2 linked regions of the Diceros bicornis minor genome follow. The protein of the gene in region 1 purifies or fractionates together with the protein of each later gene. This does not show direct contact. Links are inferred from orthologs where the notes say so. Each region holds a gene or a part of one and is shown in the gene's direction. Other genes may lie near its edges. The genes, in order: SRRT and ZC3H18.

What was found.
Region 2: the proteins of SRRT (region 1) and ZC3H18 purify together in Homo sapiens (co-immunoprecipitation; 4 studies listed by BioGRID and IntAct, counting the BioPlex papers as one, with this or other methods). This does not show direct contact. The link is inferred for Diceros bicornis minor from reciprocal best matches to the Homo sapiens genes SRRT and ZC3H18.

The regions. Positions count from the first base shown.
Region 1 is NC_080765.1:5,028,228-5,037,302, reverse strand, and holds the start of SRRT (serrate RNA effector molecule homolog), read left to right. Parts: upstream 1-5,294; 5' UTR 5,295-5,443; intron 5,444-5,653; 5' UTR 5,654-5,671; coding exon 5,672-5,793; intron 5,794-8,881; coding exon 8,882-9,010; intron 9,011-9,075. Other genes in the region: TRIP6 (thyroid receptor-interacting protein 6), read left to right, coding at 763-871, 1,149-1,276, 1,362-1,487, 1,772-2,155, 2,476-2,569, 2,685-2,854, 3,282-3,460, 3,724-3,844 and 1 more. UniProt on the Homo sapiens protein: Acts as a mediator between the cap-binding complex (CBC) and the primary microRNAs (miRNAs) processing machinery during cell proliferation.
Region 2 is NC_080771.1:37,022,192-37,031,038, forward strand, and holds the start of ZC3H18 (zinc finger CCCH domain-containing protein 18), read left to right. Parts: upstream 1-5,479; 5' UTR 5,480-5,651; intron 5,652-8,847.

The DNA.
Region 1 (9,075 bases):
CCCCGCCTGCCCCACACGTGGTACACGGAGCCAGGTGGAGGTATTAGGTGATCCTGATCTGCGGCATCTGCTGTCTCTGGGAGAGGGGCCCTGGTGCACGCGTGCAGGGCAGCTGTCTGGCCACGTCAGCCTCCCTCCCTTCACCGGTGCCTTGTCCGGGGCTGGGTCTCCGCTCGTGACTTCAGGCTACCTCAGTCTCCCCCTCACCCAACAGACTCACTGACCCCTGAGGTTGTGATATTTGTGTTCTGTTTTATTTTTCTAACTGCTGAACGTGAATAAAAGACCAAAACACTACGGGCTGGCGGAGCACTGCTGGGGGGTGGGTAGATGGGACGGGAGGAGGGAGACATCTGTATGGGGGGATGTGGGAAAGAGGAGCGCCAGAGCGTCCCAGCGTCGAGGTGGCCATGGGCAGGACCTGGGGCGCGGGGCGCAGGGCCTGGGGGACTCGGGGAAATGGAGGCTGCCTGCAGCCTCCCAGACGCCGGCTCCGCGGAAAGCCCTCCCCGCTCAGCAGGAGGGGGCTGACTAGGGAGGGACAGCAGTTTAGGGCCTAGGGGGCCACGTGACCCTCCCCCAGGAATGCGATGATGTCACAGGGGGCGTGGCCATCCCCAAAATTGGGGAGGAAGAGGAAAAAAAGCCAGAAAAAGTTTCTTTCCTGGAGTCCCAAACGAGGGACGGAAGAAGGGGTCAAGGCCAGAGGCTCAGGGCTCCGTGAGGCCCTGACCGCGGTCTGGAGGTCCCCCGTTCCAGGCCATGTCGGGGCCCACCTGGCTCCCCCCGAAGCAGCTGGAGCCCGTCAGAGCCCCTCAGGGGAGAGTGCTCCCCCGGGGCGCCCCGGGGCCGCCACCAGCCCCCGGAGCAGGTAAGGCAGTCCCCAGTGGGCCCAGGAGGCCACCTCTGCCCTGAGGCTCCTGCCTCCTGCCCAGCCTGCCCAGCCGCCCCTTCCCCGGAGCCAGGCTGGGACTAGCCGCCCCTGCCCTCTCGCAGCCCTCCCCACCTCCTGTCCCATTCTCGGAGCCCAGGTGCGGGAGGGGGGGGGTGAGGGGGAGGGGAGACGAGGGACCTAAGAGGGCGTCCTCCACAAGTGTCACCCTCGTCTCCTTCCCCATCTACCCTTCCTCTCTCTTCCCTCACCGCAGCACTCCAGTCCCACCCCAGGGTCAATTTTTGCCGTCTCCCATCTGAGCAGTGTTACCAGGCCCCAGGGGGACCAGAGGATCGGGGGCTGGCCTGGGTGGGGTGCCATGGAGCACCCCAGCGTTCACAGGTGAGAACCGGGATGGGGGGGTGAGGGCAGGGCAGGAGAAGAGGGCCGTGTGATTTGCTTCTCCCTGCTTCTGCTCCATCCTCAGGGGCTCCCCCCAGACAGAGGGGGCTTGCGCCCAGGAAGTCTGGATGCTGAGATAGATTCGCTGACCAGCATGCTGGCTGAGCTGGATGGGGGTCGTGGTCATGCCCCACGGCAGCCTGACCGGCAGGTGACCCCCTGTCCTGCCCCGTCCCTCCTCTGCTCCCTGTCCCCTGTCCCCCCACCCGCCCCCCTAGCCTGGTCCCTTCTCTGGATTCTCAACCCAGTCCACCCCTCACCTCTACCTTGTGGAAGAAGCTGGGCCACCAGAGCTTGCTAGGTTGTCAGCCACTTGAAGGCGGGCCGTTGTCAAAAACCAGCACTTACCTGGGTGCCACACACATGGGTGGGGCATTTCCACAGGTGTGTGTCCTGAATGGGCCCAGCTCACTCCTGGTCTGCGTTTCTCCTCAGGCTTATGAGCCCCCTCAGCCCCCTGCCTACCGCGTGGGCTCCCTGAAGCCGAATGGAGGGGGTGTTCCTTCCCCACCGCTCCCAGCATCCACTTACGGGGGCCCCACTCCGGCCTCCTACACAACAGCAAGCACGCCCGCCGGCCCTGCCTTCCCTGTGCAAGTGAAGGTGGCACAACCAGTGAAAGGCTGTGGCCCCCCCAGGCGGGGGGCCTCTCAGGCCTCCGGGTCCCTGCCGGGCCCCCACTTTCCTCTCCCAGGCCGAGGTGAAGTCTGGGGGCCTGGCTATAGGAGCCACCGAGAGCCAGGGCCGGGAAGTGAAGAGGAGGCTGCCGGGGTCTCTGGCCATGCAGGAGGAGGAAGAGGAGGCGGGTATGGGCCCCCGGTAAGCACCGTGTATGGGGTTTGGGGTCCTCACAGACAACTGGACACTGATTGGGCGGGGTGAGGAGTGGTGTTTAATGTCCTGGTTGTCAGAGGTCTGAGGTGTCGGAGCTCTAGATCCCCGGAGAGTGTGGGCAGGTCAGGAAGTACAGGACGGAGGGGACTGGAGCTGTACCCTGGCTCCCCGAGGTGTGCCGCCTGGACGCTGGGCTGAGACGTTCTCAGATGAGCTTTCTGGGCAGAACTGCCTGGTCACCCTCAGCGATTTTCACAGGGTCAGGAGCTAGAGGTAGGGCCGAACCCCTGATTCTCACTTCCCAGGTGCCCCTGAGCCAGCCTCCCGAGGAGGAGCTTGAGAGGCTGACCAAGAAGCTGGTGCATGACATGAACCACCCGCCCAGCGGGGAGTACTTCGGTGAGCTGACCCCACCGGTGGGGTGGGAAGGGGGAGGTGGGGCTAGAGAGTCAGAGGGACAGCCGATCCAGCTTCCTAGCTTGTGCAGATTGACCCTGTCCCTCCCTGTCCCCAGGCCGGTGTGGCGGCTGCGGAGAAGATGTGGTTGGGGATGGGGCTGGGGTTGTGGCCCTGGACCGCGTCTTTCACGTTGGCTGCTTTGTGTGTTCTACGTGCCGGGCCCATCTTCGGGGCCAGCATTTCTATGCTGTGGAGAGGAGGGCATATTGTGAGAGCTGCTACGTGGTGAGTGGTTGGGGTGGGGGGCTTCCATCCAAGGTGGGAACTAGATGTCCAAGCCCCAAAGAGGAACAGGACTCGAAGGTAGGGGACTAAAACTGATGTACAAGAAGAATGGAGGACTTAAGTAGCTAAATACTGCCTGCTGGAGGGAAGGACCACAGTCCCTTTACAAGTGTGAGGCATTTATTTTAGAGTTAAGGAAAGTGTTAAATTCCCACCATACCCCTGTGAGGCAGATATTACTACTGAAGGAAACTGAAGCTCAGAGTGGTTAAATAACTTGTCCATGAAGCTGCATTGCTGAGACTTGCCACCTTTCACTGAATCGCACGCAGGTGGATACACGAACAGATGGTTGGGCTGGCAGGATGCTTGTGGGGCTGCCATGGGTCACCCCAGCCCTCAACCTTCCTCCCTTCCTTCCCAACAGGCCACCCTGGAGAAGTGCTCCACATGCTCCCAACCCATCCTAGACCGGATCCTGCGGGCTATGGGGAAGGCCTACCATCCTGGCTGCTTCACCTGTGTGGTGTGCCACCGCGGCCTCGATGGCATCCCTTTCACGGTGGATGCCACCAGCCAGATCCACTGCATTGAGGACTTCCACAGGTCAGGCTGGGTCCCCCACCTTTGTCTCAGGATGTCTGGCCTTTCCTATCTTCCTCCTCTCTCCTTAATGTCTCAGTACCAGCCTCTCCTGTTTCCCACCCCTAGCCATGTCTCATTTTTGTTAACGTCACTCTCATCCCCAAGATCCAAGACCACACCTCTGGCCTCTGCTGTTCCCTCCTGCATCCCACCTTCTCAGGACTCCCTTGTTAGTATTCTCCAAGCCTGTGGCTTGACAGCCTCCTGGTTCCCTTCCACCCCAGGAAGTTTGCCCCACGATGCTCAGTGTGTGGTGGGGCCATCATGCCTGAACCAGGTCAGGAGGAGACGGTGCGAATTGTTGCTCTGGATCGCAGTTTTCACATTGGCTGTTACAAGTGTGAGGTCAGGGAGCCTGGGCGATGGGAAAAGAGGTTCTCAGGGTCTGGGGTCCTGGGTATGGTAGAGCACAAGGGACAAGGAACCCAGGGGTCTGGGCCTGATGGAAAGCTGTTGCCTCTTTTCACACAGGAGTGTGGGCTGCTGCTGTCCTCTGAGGGTGAGTGTCAGGGCTGCTACCCACTGGATGGGCACATCTTGTGCAAGGCCTGCAGTGCCTGGCGCATCCAGGAGCTCTCAGCCACCGTCACCACCGACTGCTGAGTCTTCCTAGAAGCACCTGCTGTGTTCTCCTCCGTTCCCAGGGACCACGCTCCCTGACAACTACCTTTACAGCCTTGTCATCAAGGCTCTTCCTCCAATCGTGAAATAACAATCCCTCAAGAGTTTACAAAACACTTTGAAGTCTGTTGTCTCATCTGATTTTCACCGCAGCCCAACACAAGCACGATTGTTGCGACTGTCTGTATTTTTAGCTGGGAAGTGACTTCCCCACACTGCATGCTTCCCAAATGGCAGAACCAAGATCAGAACCTGGTCTTCTTAGTCTTAGTCCAGTTTCTTGTAACTCTACTATACACTCTTTTTAATGTAGTTTGGTGTAAGGACACCCCTCCTCTCGGTGCTGGGAGCAAGGCTGCAGCAGCACGCTCTGGGGAGGCAGTATTTCCTAGTCTTAAGTCTTTACACTCAGTTCACTGAACAGGACGTGGTATCCCTGTGGTGTTATTTAACCTGGGGCAAGCAAAATCCTGCCTATTGGTAGGGAGCTCAACCTACAACCTGTCTCATCAAAGTACTGATTGGGAATAAGACTGAGATTTGCCAGTTTTGCTCAAAGACGGGGCGCCTTTCTCGAAGAAGAGCAGGAACAAGGGGTTTCGCAGGTAGCGTGTACGGAGGCACCAACAAAAGCTGGTTATCTAGTGGGAGCACAAAATGGTGGGAGGAGATGCTTTAAAATGGTTGCTCGATCTCGTTAAGCCAATGCATTCGCCAAGCCCCTGCCCTGCTCACGGAGAGGGGCGAAACCACCCAGGAGGAGGTCAGGAGGCGCCCAGAGGAAGGTGAGGCGGGGTGCGCAAAGGCTGGATGGAAACTGGAAGAGGCTCCGGACAGAGCCAGGGAATCCCAGCCTTCGACCTCGGCCCGAGCAAGATCTGCTTCACGCCCAGAGGGCTCTACCGCCCTCTCGAGGCCATGCTTGGTCCAGCCGGCTTCCCGTAGTTCCTCTCGCTCCCGCAGTTCTCGTCCTGGAAAGCGCGCGAGACTTCCGGGGCCCCGCCCCTTCCCGTCATGCCCCGGTGCTCCCCGTCTCTCCGTCTTTGGTTTAGTTCCAGTTCTGGCCGCGAGTGGGGCGGGGCTTTTGTGGTTCGAGGCGCTCTGCTGCCGGTGACGCAGGCGCAGCGCGAGCGGCGCGCGCCGACCGCCTATCGTCGCTGTCCCACTTTCTTCGCATCTCCTCAGCCCCCTCGCTGAGACACCCGCGTCTCCCTCTCACTCTCCTCGCCGTCCTCGCCGCGTGCCCGAGGCCAGAGGCGGGCCCAGGTCGCCCGGAAAACCAGCCCGCCCGAGCGCGAGACTAACGGCCGCGGCCGCTCCCAGGTGGGGGAGGGGAGGGCCGGAGGGAGAGGGGCCCGGGGCTGGCGGGGGGCCCGTGGGGGCGAGTGCAGTGTCGGGGCAGAGGGCTTAGGATGGCGGGGACAGCGGCCGGTTGGCCTTTGCGGAGCGGGGCGGGCGTGCTGCTGCGGATGGGAGAGCCTTCCCTCCTCCCGGCATTGTTCGATACACTGATGGCCCCTGTCTGGGCTCCAGGCCCCCTGCGACCGCGCCATGGGTGACAGTGATGACGAGTATGATCGTAGACGCAGGGACAAGTTTAGAAGAGAGCGCAGCGACTATGACCGTTCCCGGGAAAGAGATGAAAGACGTCGAGGGGACGACTGGAATGACCGGTGAGACGCTGCTTTTCCTCAGTTTTGTGCCCCTGTCTCATTCTGTTGTACTCCACTCTCATGGCGTTGCGTTTATAATTTTATCAGGGCGAACCATGTGAAATCGCTCATTCTTGACGGTTGCATGTGGTTCAACCTATTTGCTGTTGGCGGAAGAGTTAGGTATGGCTTGATGTTTGAAATGTCCAGAAGATCAAAGCAATAGAGCTAAGAGAGTTTGAGTATGAAAAAGCAATATTTATACATGTATTAAAAATGTGTGCATTTTAGTGTTTGTAGATTATACCTCGAAAAGTTTGATTCAAAAAAAAAGCAATATAGAATTGCCTTTAACTGGTGAGGTTGTCAGGCCAGTTCCCTGGCAGAATGTGATTAAATTTCTTGTAATTGTTTTGGCTAACATCAGAGTTTTGGATGCTAATGGTTGGGTTAATTGATTAGGTTTGACTGGCTAGTGATTAGTTTTCTGGGATGTTTTTGAGTTAATTACAGTTAAGGTGTTTCCTTAACTATAACATAAGAAACATCTAATGTGGTTTCAAATAAAGTAATCAAGATAAGAGGAACCGTGGCAGATTTTTTTAATCTAAAGGGCATCACAAATATCCAGTCAGTGAGCTGATGGCACTGGCTCAATTTGGATACAGATTACCAGAAAAAAAGAGTTTGAGGTGACTTATTGTGATAACATTTATTCCTTCAGTATCATTTTGAAAAATGAGTAAATCAGTCAGTCTGTCAGTGAGTCTCTTCTCTGTGGACGCTCCATGTGGCACTTTGTTCCTTGGTATTTTCTACGAAAGTCAGAAGAAAATCAAAGGTGCTCTTCTGAATTCTGAAGATGGATGAGATGTGGTTATTACCCTTAAGGAGTTTACAGTTTGGGGCTTGGAGTCAGGGGCAAAATGGCCTTGGGTGTATGCTGCAAATGAGTATATATGAGAGATCATTATAAAGATGGTAAGTGTTGAGGGAACAGATTTTCCAAGGGAAAAAAAGAGGAGAGCTACAGGAAAGCGACACTTAGCAAGACTTGGAAAGATGAGTGGGAATTCCCCAGACACAAGTGGCGTGAACAGCTTGGAATTGGGGACATAATGCCGTGTGCAGAAAAGAGCACATATTCTAATATTTTGAGAGTAGTGGTTCTCAGAGTGTGGCCCACACACTGTAGGGGATCTGTGAGGTTACAACTGTTGTTATAGTAACACTAGGTAGTGTCGTTTTCACCGTAGTGACATTTGCACGTGTGATGCTATAGCATTGGCGAATTAAACTGCTGACGCCTTTGCACCAATCCAGTTTCACTTAATGTCCTTGATGAAGCAGTGAAAATTTTTAATGTTATTAAATTGGGTTCTTGACTGTACATCTTTTTAATACACATGATGGATGAGAAGGATGCATAAAGTACTTCTGCATATAGGAGTACAGTGGTCACCCTGAGGAATAGTATTTGTGGGATCGAGTTGTGAGCTGAACTAACAATATTTTTTTTCCTGGAATGCCAGTTTTACCTGAATGAAAGACTGTCAAACAGTGGTTATTCATATTTGGGTATTTGACAGACATTTTCTTGAAAACAAACTAAGAGAATCTGTTACTGCAAGGAAAATTGTCAGTTTTGTTGCCAGTGAGGAAGTGGAACTTTCCAGTGAAAACTAAAATTTTGGAAAACTTGTATCTACCAATGTGAGCTTGAGAGCTTCCCCTTACTTAAAGACTCTTCTGATGAGATACGAAGTGATACTAATGAGTATGATGTTTTGATATTATATAAAAAGATGTGTCAAGATCCATTCAAAGAGCAAGATAGAACAATAGATTTTAATGTACCAGAGTACAAAATGTTCATTGATACGGTTTCAGATTCAGCATTGCAACTAGCCCTTAAGAAGCTATTTCTCAAGCTTTGGGTAGTACGGAAGAATATCGCCAGTTATCTGAAAAGGCTATTCAAGTATTCCCTTTTCCAGCTACATATCTGTGAGGCCAGATTTTCTTCATATTTTTCAACCAAACACCATATTATAACAGATTGTATGTAGAAGCAGATATGAGACTCCAGCTGTCTCTCTTAAGCCAGACCTTGAAAAGAGTTGTAAATGAAACACAATGCCAGTTTTTTCACTGAAATTTTTTTGGAAAATAGCCATTTTTCATAAAATGATGTAGTTTATGTTAATATTTAACGTCAAAATTAATAGGTGTTAATTTTTTCTATTCCAATTTTGAATACAGTATTCACATGTGGTTAGAATACTGGGTAGATAGAACCCACATAAGCAAAAACTCTTTAATCTTCAACACTTTTTAAGAGTGTAAAGGGATCCCAAGACCAAAAAGTTTGAAAACCACTGGGTTAGAGCAAGGATGTTCTTTTTTATTTTGTGAAGATGGGGATGGAGGTGGCTGGTGACTGGTGGAGAGCCTGAAATAACACCCAGGAACAAAGGTTTTGAACAGTGTTGTGTATTTAAGCAAGGGTATGGCATGAGCAGATTTGTGTTTGAGAAAATTCACTTTGACCGTAGAGAAGGGGCAGAGACCAGAGCAGGAAAGCAAAACCAGTGCTGCAGTTGTAGGAGAAACGATCAGGACCAGGCACGCAGGCTAGGGCAGAGTGTGTGGGGATGGCGAGGAAGAGGACAGCTTTAATAGGCTTTGAGACAGGGGATTAACAAGCCCGTAACAAATTAGTGGTGAGGGTGACACTTGATAACTGGATACGTGGTGATATGTTGATATAACCGAGAGTGGGAAAGGAGGATGGAAGCAGATTCGGGCCCATAGTGGTAGAAATAATAGGCTCAATTCTGACACGCAATGGCCGTCTAGTGGGGAATTGTTGATGTTGGTCTGGAGCTCAGGAAAAAGGCCAGGCTGGAGGGAGGGACAGTTGGAGAGTTATCAGTTTGTGGGTAATGGCTACAGTGATGGAAGTAGGCAAGAGTCCTTCTGTTTAGAGAGTAGTTTTATCATTTTAGGCTTTTAGTCTGGTGTCTCAGATAGGACAGGAAGGGCCTGTCCAGGAGTGTAACCTCGGGATATCCAGCTGTGCCTTACTGTTACCTGTCCTGATCGCCAGAGAGTGGGACCGTGGCCGGGAGCGCCGCAGTCGGGGTGAATATCGTGACTATGACCGGAATCGGCGAGAGCGCTTCTCTCCTCCCCGCCATGAGCTCAGCCCCCCGCAGAAGCGCATGAGACGAGACTGGTGAGATGGCAGCAGTGTCCCTGTCTTCTCTCTTTGGGCTCAGTTCCACTTGGGCCTCAGCTGTC
Region 2 (8,847 bases), on another chromosome or scaffold:
TATTTTTCTTTCTTCAATAATCAATTATCTTAGCTTACGGTAACTTTTTTACTTTATAAACTTTTTAATTTTTTTAACTTTTTTACTCTTTTGTAATAACATTTAGCTTAAAACACAAACCCATTGTACAGCTGTATAAAAATATTTTCTTTCTGTATATCCTTATTCTATAAGCTTTTTTCTATTTTTAAAGTTTTTTATTTTCATTTTTTTACTTTTTAAACTTGTTAAAAACTAAGACACAAACACACACATTAGCCTAGGCCTGCACAGGGTCAGGATCATCAATATCCTGTCTTCCTTCTCCGCATTTTGTCCCACTGGAAGGTCTTCAGCGGCACTAACATACATGCAGCTGTCATCTCCTATGATAACAATGCCTTCTTCTAGAATACCTCCTGAAGGACCTGCCTGAGGCTCTTCTTGAGGAGATGTCACTCTTTTCAGATATATGTCCATGGTGGTTTGCTTGGTGTTTCTTTTTCATCATAGATTTGCTTGTAAGCAGACAATGCACTGTGAATATTCCTCTCTATTAGTGAAAACTTTTTGGTATTGGTGTCTGTGTTTTCAAATCTTTAGGAGTTTGTTGAGGTCTGCAAAAGCTTCTGCTAAAGCCTTCACTGTGAATTTTCTTGGAGGTTGTTCTTCTCCCACAGTTTCCCCTTCTCTTGCCTCTTCTTCAGCTATGTGCTCCTGTTCCGTTTCCAACAACTCCTTGTTAGTCAATTCCTCAGGAACCACCTCTAGGAGCTCCTCAATGTCAGCCTCACCCACACCCAGGTTCAAGTTGTTTGCCATCTCAACCACAGCCGTGTTGATTTTTTTTTCTCAAAGTTTACTTATCTAAAGCATCTTCTAATATTAAGTTCTATGGATCTGTCTTTTCTTTTTTTTTGAGGGAGATTGGCCCTGAGCTAAGATCTGTTACCTATCTTCCTCCTTTTTCCTTTTTTTTTCCCTCCCCAAAGCCCAGTAGATAGTTGTATGTCATAGTTGCACATCCTTCTAGTTGCTCTATGTGGGAGGCAACCTCAGCATGGCTTGATGGGCAGTACATAGGTTCGCACCCAGGATCCAAACCGGCAAACCCTGACTGCCAAAGTGGAGCACATGAACTTAACCATTATGCCAATGGGCCAACCCCCCTTGTTGATTTTTGCAACCTCCTCATCCTTGCTAAAACCTTTGAAGTTATGGATGAACCTCTTCAGTGTCTTCTTCTAGATGCCATCATGCACTCCTTAGTGACATTACTTCAACCCCAAGCAAGGTTCTTGATGCAATCATAGATGTTGTAATCTTTCCAGAATTGTACCAGTGTCTTCTCAGTGTCTACCTCAGTTGCAGCAATAGCCTGCAAAGGTCCTCCTCAGGTAGGTGGTCTTAAAAGCTGCTATAACTCCTTGATCCATTGGTTGGATCTAAGAGGTGGTGTTTCAAGGAAGAAACACCCCTTTGATATTGGCATGAAGATCACTAATAAAAGGAGGATGTCTGGGATCATTATCAACAATAAGAAAATTCTTGAAAGATATCTTATTCTCCAAAAAGTACTTCTCCATTTCACTGGCACAGCAATTCAGGAGGGCATCCTGGAAGAGGAGCTGGGCCATCCGTGACTTCTTATTGCTCCTGTAGTGCACTCGCAGTGTGTGCTTACTGACACACTTGTATGCCAGATCACAAACAGTTTCAACTTGTAGCCTGCAACACTGCCCCCAAGCAAGACTGTTATCCTATCATTAAAAGCCTTGAAACCTGGCATTGACTTGGCCTCCTTATGGATGAAAGTCCTTTCAGGCATCTGTTTCCAGAATAGGGAAGTTTCATCCATGGTGAATATTTGCTCTGGCAAGCAGTTTTCCTCCACAATAAGCTTATCCAGAGTTTCCAAAAATTCTTCAGCTGCCTTCACATCAGCGCTTGCAGACTTACCCCTCACTTTCACATTATGTAATGAACAATGATTCCTGAATCATTCAAACCACCCAGAGCTAGCAGTTAATTCAACATCATAGTCAGGTCCAGCCTTTTCTTTCAACGTCGCAAACAAACTTTTTGCTTTGGCCATGACTGTCATGATACTGAGAGGGATGCACTTCGGTGTCTGGTCTTCAATCCAGGTCATTAGAAGTTTTTCCATGTCTGATATAGGCTCTTCTCAAATTTTTGCTAGTCTCATTGCCTTCAATGAAGTAGATCCTTTAACAGCTTCTGTCACTTTGTTCTCGTTCTTCAAGATCATAGCTAGTCCTGAAGATGGAATGGGACATGCCTGACTGGCGAGCAATAATCATCACTGATTTTCCACCTTTGTGTTCTTTAATCACTTTTAATTTTGCTTCCAGGTCAATCATTTGACGTGGCCTCTTACTGGCAACATTAGTAGTGGATTTTGTACACTCAGGGGCCATGATGAAGAAAAGAATAAGAGATTAAATCAAGCACAAGAGAAAATGATGCAATCAAGATACATGGTAAGCACGAGACATATGAGGCTACTGCCAGCGACAGCTCACCATTTTACAGCAAACCTTTTTTCTAGGTAGAAAGAGCACACTCTAAAATAACAATACAAAGTATAGTATAGAAAATACATAAACCAGTGACATAGTCATTTATTATCAACTATTATGTACTATACATAATTTTATGTGCTATACTTTTATATGACTGGCAGCACAGTAGGTTTGTTTACACCAGCATCACCACAAACGTGGGAGTAATTTGTTGCACTACGACCTTACGACAGCTACGTCACCAGGTAATAGGAATTTTTCAGCTCCATTATAATCTTATGGGACCACCATCATATATGTGTTGACAGAAACGTCATCATGTGGTGCATGACTGTACATAAAATCAGCAAGTGTGCCAGAAGGTGGTGCACTCAGCTCTTTGGATATAAAGGATTCCGTTTGAACAAAATTTTATTCATCCAAGGCCTCCCACTGGACCAAGCCCTGCCTGAATTGGACCCAGTCCAGCTCAAGTCGGACCCAGTGTGATCCTGGACCCAGTCTGGTTTTTAAGTTGGACCCAATCTGACTCTGGTAGTAACCACCACCAATACCCATGGAATTTTGACAAAGCAGTCTGAAAGGCTAGAGGCTTGGCTCTGGGCAGAACCTCAAGCTGACCTGCCCTGTAAAGGAAAGCCACTTAGATCAAGAGCTGGAGGCAAAGACTGCATAGCGCAAACTGAGAGGAACTCACCAATGGCCCTCAGAAATGGCGAGAAAGACAGAAGAACTCAAAGGGTTCTCAGGCACCACGCCTGTGTTTCTTGCTATTCCCAAAGCTGCTGGAAGTCTCCTTCGGTTGTGCTGCTGCCACCAAATCTGTTAATGAACAAAAATTCAACCTTGTCAATTTAAATATCTGATTGGGTTTATTCAATGACTCATGAATCGGGCAGCATCCCATCTAGCAAGCAGAGAGTTGTTGAAATGGAAGGTATTGATAGGCAGAAACTGGGCGGGACAAGAAAGTTACTAGCAAACAAAAAAGAAAGGATTGTTTCAGGCAAGGTCAACTTTCTTTGGGGGAAGGGCTCAGGGGTCTTATCAGATGACCTCACTAGTGTTGACCAGGATTTTCCAGACTGATCCTTTAAGGTCACATTCCTGGGAGGGGCTGAAACTGCAATTAAGTCCTGGTTTGCTGACTCCAGCTTGGGCCTGTTTCTTTTTTCAACACCATTTAGCAGTCACCCCCCATTCCACCTCCTTCCAGGCCCGGTAACCACTACTCTACTTTCCGACTCTATGGATTTGCCTCTTCTGGATATTTCATGTAGATGGAATGTGTTAGTCAACTCGGGCTGCCCTAACAAAATACCATAGACTGGGAAGCTTAAACAACAGAAATTTACTTTCTCACAGTTCTGGAGCCTGGAAGTCCAAGATCAGGGTGCCAGCGTAGCAGGGGTCTGGCCAGAGCTCTCTTCTGGCTTGCAGATGCTGCCTTCTTGTGTCCTCACACAGTGGAGGTGGGGTGGGGAAGGGAGAGACAGAAGGGGGGGGTCTCTCTCTGTTATCTCTTCTTATAATGACTTCATTCCTTTCTATGGCTTAATAGTTATTCCACTGTATACTTAGAACACATTTTGTTTATCCGTTCATCCGGGCGTGGACATCTAGGTTGTTTCCACTTTGAGGCTACTGTGAACAGTGCTGCTGCCAACATTTGTGCTCTGGTTTTGTCTAGATACGTGTCATTTCTCTTGGGTTAGACACCAAGGAGTGCATTAGCTGTGTTAATACCTTCATTTCTTCCCCTGCTCATTCATTCATTCGGAAAACATGGAGCAAACATTTATGAGTTCATTCAACCTCACCATGTGCTGGACATTATATTTGTGGGCTGAATGGAGGCAGGCTGCCCCAAGGAGGAGCCCTTCTTAGTACTGCACATTTCCTGGAGGAGGAAGATGGGGTGAGGAAAGGCCTGCTCTGCTCACCATTCCCCAAAACCCTTAGATACCCCCAGAACAGGCTATATAAGTTGCAGGGTCCAGTGCAAAATGAAAACATGGGCCCCTTGTTCAAAAATGACTAAGAATTTTAAGGTGGGGAAAGCAGGTCATTCAACCGAGCTCGGAACCCTTCTAAGTGCGAGTTTCTCATCTCTAAAATGGAGAGCACACTGTGTGATCCTCTGCAGCGTGGCTCCAGGAGGCTCCACCCTGAGGGTCTGTGAAGGTAGTTGTAGAGCTGTAAAAATGCTCCAAGTATCACATGATGTCCTTCTGATCACGGAAAGGTTACATCGGGTTAAGCTGATCACATTTAGTAAGATGCGGAGCTATCCAGTCCGATGGAAATAGTTTAAAACTTTAGCTTTGATATTTAAACTCTATCTCAAAAATGATTAATTTTGTGTTGAGCTGATTATATTTAATACAGCTGGAGCTATTTAGTCCCACGTAAATAGTTAAAAATTATAAGCTGTGATATTTAAACTCAATATTTCAAAAAACAATTAATTCTTGTGTTGAGCTGATTATTTTTAAGAAAGTGGAAATAGTTAAAAATGTTTAAGCTTTGGCATTTAAACTCCATATCTCAAAAATGATTAATTTGTCGGGCGGTAGCTCCTTACTCCCACAGAAGGAGTTAAAATGCAAGCTCTGAGGCTTAAACCACCTTCGTTGCAGAAGGTCCACCGTCCCACTCACCGCACGACTCCGCCACGCGGGAATCGGCTGCTCCGCGCGTCACGTGACCTCGCGGCCCGTCATGTGACCGCGCGGCGCGCTGACCCTCCCCGCAGGCGTCGTCCGGCGGCCGGCGGCGCGCGGGCTCGGAGACCCGCCCCCGGGAGCGTGGCCTCTGGCGGCGCCTGCGCCGTGGAGGGGCGGGCGCGCGCGCCGCGCGGGCGGGGCCGCGCGGTGGGGCCGCACGGAAGCCGGAAGGAAGCGGGCGGAGGGCGGGGCGGGCGAGGGAAGCCCGCCGGCCCGGAGGACGGCGGTCGCGGCCTGATGACGTCGCACAATGGCCGGCCCCCGCGGGTAGTGCAGCCCGTTTGTTCCGCCCGCGTCGCGCCTGGAGCCGGAGACTGTGAGGAGCGGAAGGGCCGAGGGACGCCTTCCCCGCGCCGTCCAGACCCCAGCGGAGCCGTGGCCCCCTCCCCGCCCTCGCGCTGAGGTAAGCGGCGGCGGCGGCGGGAGCCGGGCCGGTGGGGAGGGGAGGCCGAGACGGCCGGGCGGGGAGCGTGGCGGCGGCGCGGAGCCCAGGCCCGGGAGCCCCGCCGCCGCCGCCTCCGGGGAGCGCTCCGGGCTGCGCCCCCGGCCGAAGCGTGGCTCTCGGGCCCCGGGAAGGGGCCGTGAGAGCGGCACGATCCCGCGCTCCGTCCGCGGCGAGCCAGCCCAGAGCCCTGGACCCCTCGGAACTCGAGCCCCGCGCGGCTGCCTTGGCGCCCTGCCGTGGAGTTGGTTCTCCCGGAGCTGTCATTTCTCTTCCGGGACGTTCGCGGGGCACATGTTTGCCGCCCGCAGGGGGGGCACGCGGGTCGGCCCTCAGAGGAGGCCGGCCGGGCTGTCGATGGGCTCTTAGGGAACTTTGAGCTCGCTGGAGCCTCCTGGAGCTTGCTCCCTCGACGTCACAGTGTGCACAGGTTGGACGCGCTGGCTGTGCCCCAAGACGCGCGCCACTCTCTTAGGATGTGAAACTTTCCTGCGCCTTTGGTCAGAAGCCGGAGGAATGATGCCGGGTCCTTGGGATAAACTACTGCAGCTGTGATGCTGGGCGAACCTGAGTGGGAGACTGCCAGTCTTGCTCCTGCTAAGACTTAACTTTTCCTGAATACTTTATGACGGCCGACTTTGCTGGGTAGGCTGGTTGATCACTTTAAATGAGCTTTGTCCAGCAAACTCATTTGCAAGAGTAGGTCAGACTTCAGATGCGTTTGGGGAAAAAGGAAGAGGAGGGTGTTTGACATCCGAAGTACTGTTTGGGAGCGTAGCAATGGCTCTCATCCTTTCTTCTTAGAGACTCACCTTCATCATAGTTCCCGCAGAGTGGTCCTTTCCCAGAACCGAGGTTGGGATTCAGGGTGAGCCTGGACCCAGGCTGATTCCCACCTCCAAGCCCTGGGAGGGGAGTCTGTCTGACAGTTTTACAATCTGAGCACGTATGTAGCCCACCCAACTATGGAAACCAATGGTATGTGTCCCAAAGGCTGGAACTCATCTCCAGTTTGGGGTGGGAAATGCTCAAACATTGTAAGAAAGCTTTGTGGAATCATTTCAGAGGGCAAACAAGTAAGCTGTGGCCTTGCTCACGTTTAAAGAGGTTTTTTGTTTACTTTTTCACAGCTACATATCGTCTCAATGTGAGACTTACTTGGGGAATTTTTGGTAGTCAAGCTTAGTCATTTTGGGGGTGCTGTCACCAGCCTTGACATCCTTCCTTTGGATGTTGTAAATCCATGAAGTTATGAACCAGGACTTTAACCAGCTGTACCAGAACTGAAGCATTCAAATAGGGTCTGCTCTGTTGAAGGTCGTTATCCCAGAAGGGTACCTTGCATTTCACTGGTGCTCCTTTGCCAAAACCTCTTTAGAACTCCCGTTTTGGTAGTAAATATATAAGCGTATGAGAAAATCAATCTCATTCAATAGTCACACCCCATGTTTGACCAAAAATTGTCTTATCTGGCTTGGTAATTCACCTCACCACCTCTGAATGGCTTCCTGTGCTTTCTCAAAGTGACCCACCTTGAGGAAGACTTGCTGCCACTGAGAGCGCCAAGAGAGTGTTCTACAGGTCACTCAAAGAGAGAGGTTCCCAAAATGTTCTGTGCTTTAGCAGTGCCATTGGAATCAATGTGCAGCCTTCCGGAGTGACGGCTGGGAAATGAGACAGCCCCACTCTGCATCTGAGTTCTGGTATAGTCTTCTAAAACTGGCACTTCTTTCAGATATTTCTGGTAAGCGACAGGTAGTTTATCAAGTCACGAGATTTTCTCATTTATTCATTCGTTTATTCAACAAGCATTTATTAATCACTGTCTGCCAAATGCAGTAGGCAGTGGAGACACAAGGATGGACACTCATTATTCCATCTTGGGGATCAGAGGACTAAAGGGTGCGCAGTTTTGCCGGGAGTGGGTGCAGGCGGTTGTATGAGAGCTGTGAGCCTGGGAGTGGTGAAGACATGGCCAGACCTCCATTTCGTTTTCTACACTTAAGAGGCCACAGGTTTCTCCCAGCACCTGACAGAGAGCACCCACTTAAATATTTGCCAAGTTGAATTAATTTCACAACAGGGCAGACATCCAGAGAGACAATTAACCTGCCCAGAGCGGGCCTGGAACAGAAGCCACCTTCTGACTCCAGTGACACTTCTCCTCTTCTGCACAGCAAGGTGTGACTCAGGGTGCTTCTAATAAACAGGTAGATTCTTCGGCTTGTTTTCTTCTGCAAGGTGTTCAGTTCTGTGCAGCTTCGGATTATGAAATCCCAAGAGGTTCCATAGGGAGAGAAGAGATGTGACTCCTTTCCTCAGGAAATTGTCAGGACATACAGTGACTATGTCCCAGTATGTCTAGGACAGCTCCTGATCATGCCTGTGTGGCTGTTAATGCCCCCTTTCAGTCTCAAGCGTGTCCCAGTTTAGACAGTCAGTTTTGTGGTAGCTCTGCTCCTAAGTGCCAGCCACTTGCTGAGTTAGGGGAGCACAGAGGTGAGTGTGAGCCCTTCCGCTCAGGCACTTCATGGGAGCTGAGGGAGTCTCGCAACAGACTTTGCAAACAGATTGCAAACAGTCGCAGTACAGTGTGGTAAGTATGGATACATAATAGACAAATGGACAGTATGCCTAGGGCAAGAGTTCTTAATCTGGGGCCTATGAGTGGACCTCAGGAGGTTTTGAACTCCCTAAAGTGGAAGATAAATTGCATATGTCCAGGTTTTTCTAGGCAGAGGAGCCATCTCCTTCATCCCATTCTCAGAGCAGTCCATGCTTTCGCAAAGGCTGATTGAGCACCGCTGACAGAGCTCTAGGCCCCCCTTGATGGTGCTAGGTGCACTCAGGACCGTAGGCTCTGCCACCTTCTGGTCAGCGCTGAGAACTGCCTGTGAGAGTTGGGAAGTTACCTTTGCGTCCTTGGAATGTCGAAGTGATTTCCGTAATTCAAACTGTGGAGGGCATGCGGGCTCAATAAAATTCTTGAAATTATTTCCCATGCCACAATACACCAGCCTTTCAGGATCTTAATTTAAGTCAGCACTTCCTGTGGTGTTAGTATAAAGGTGTGCACCTTTTGGGGGTTTCTTTTATTGGATTCATGTTTGGTGTAAGTGCCTAAGATTCAAACTTCAGACAAGTTCAAAATCATAAA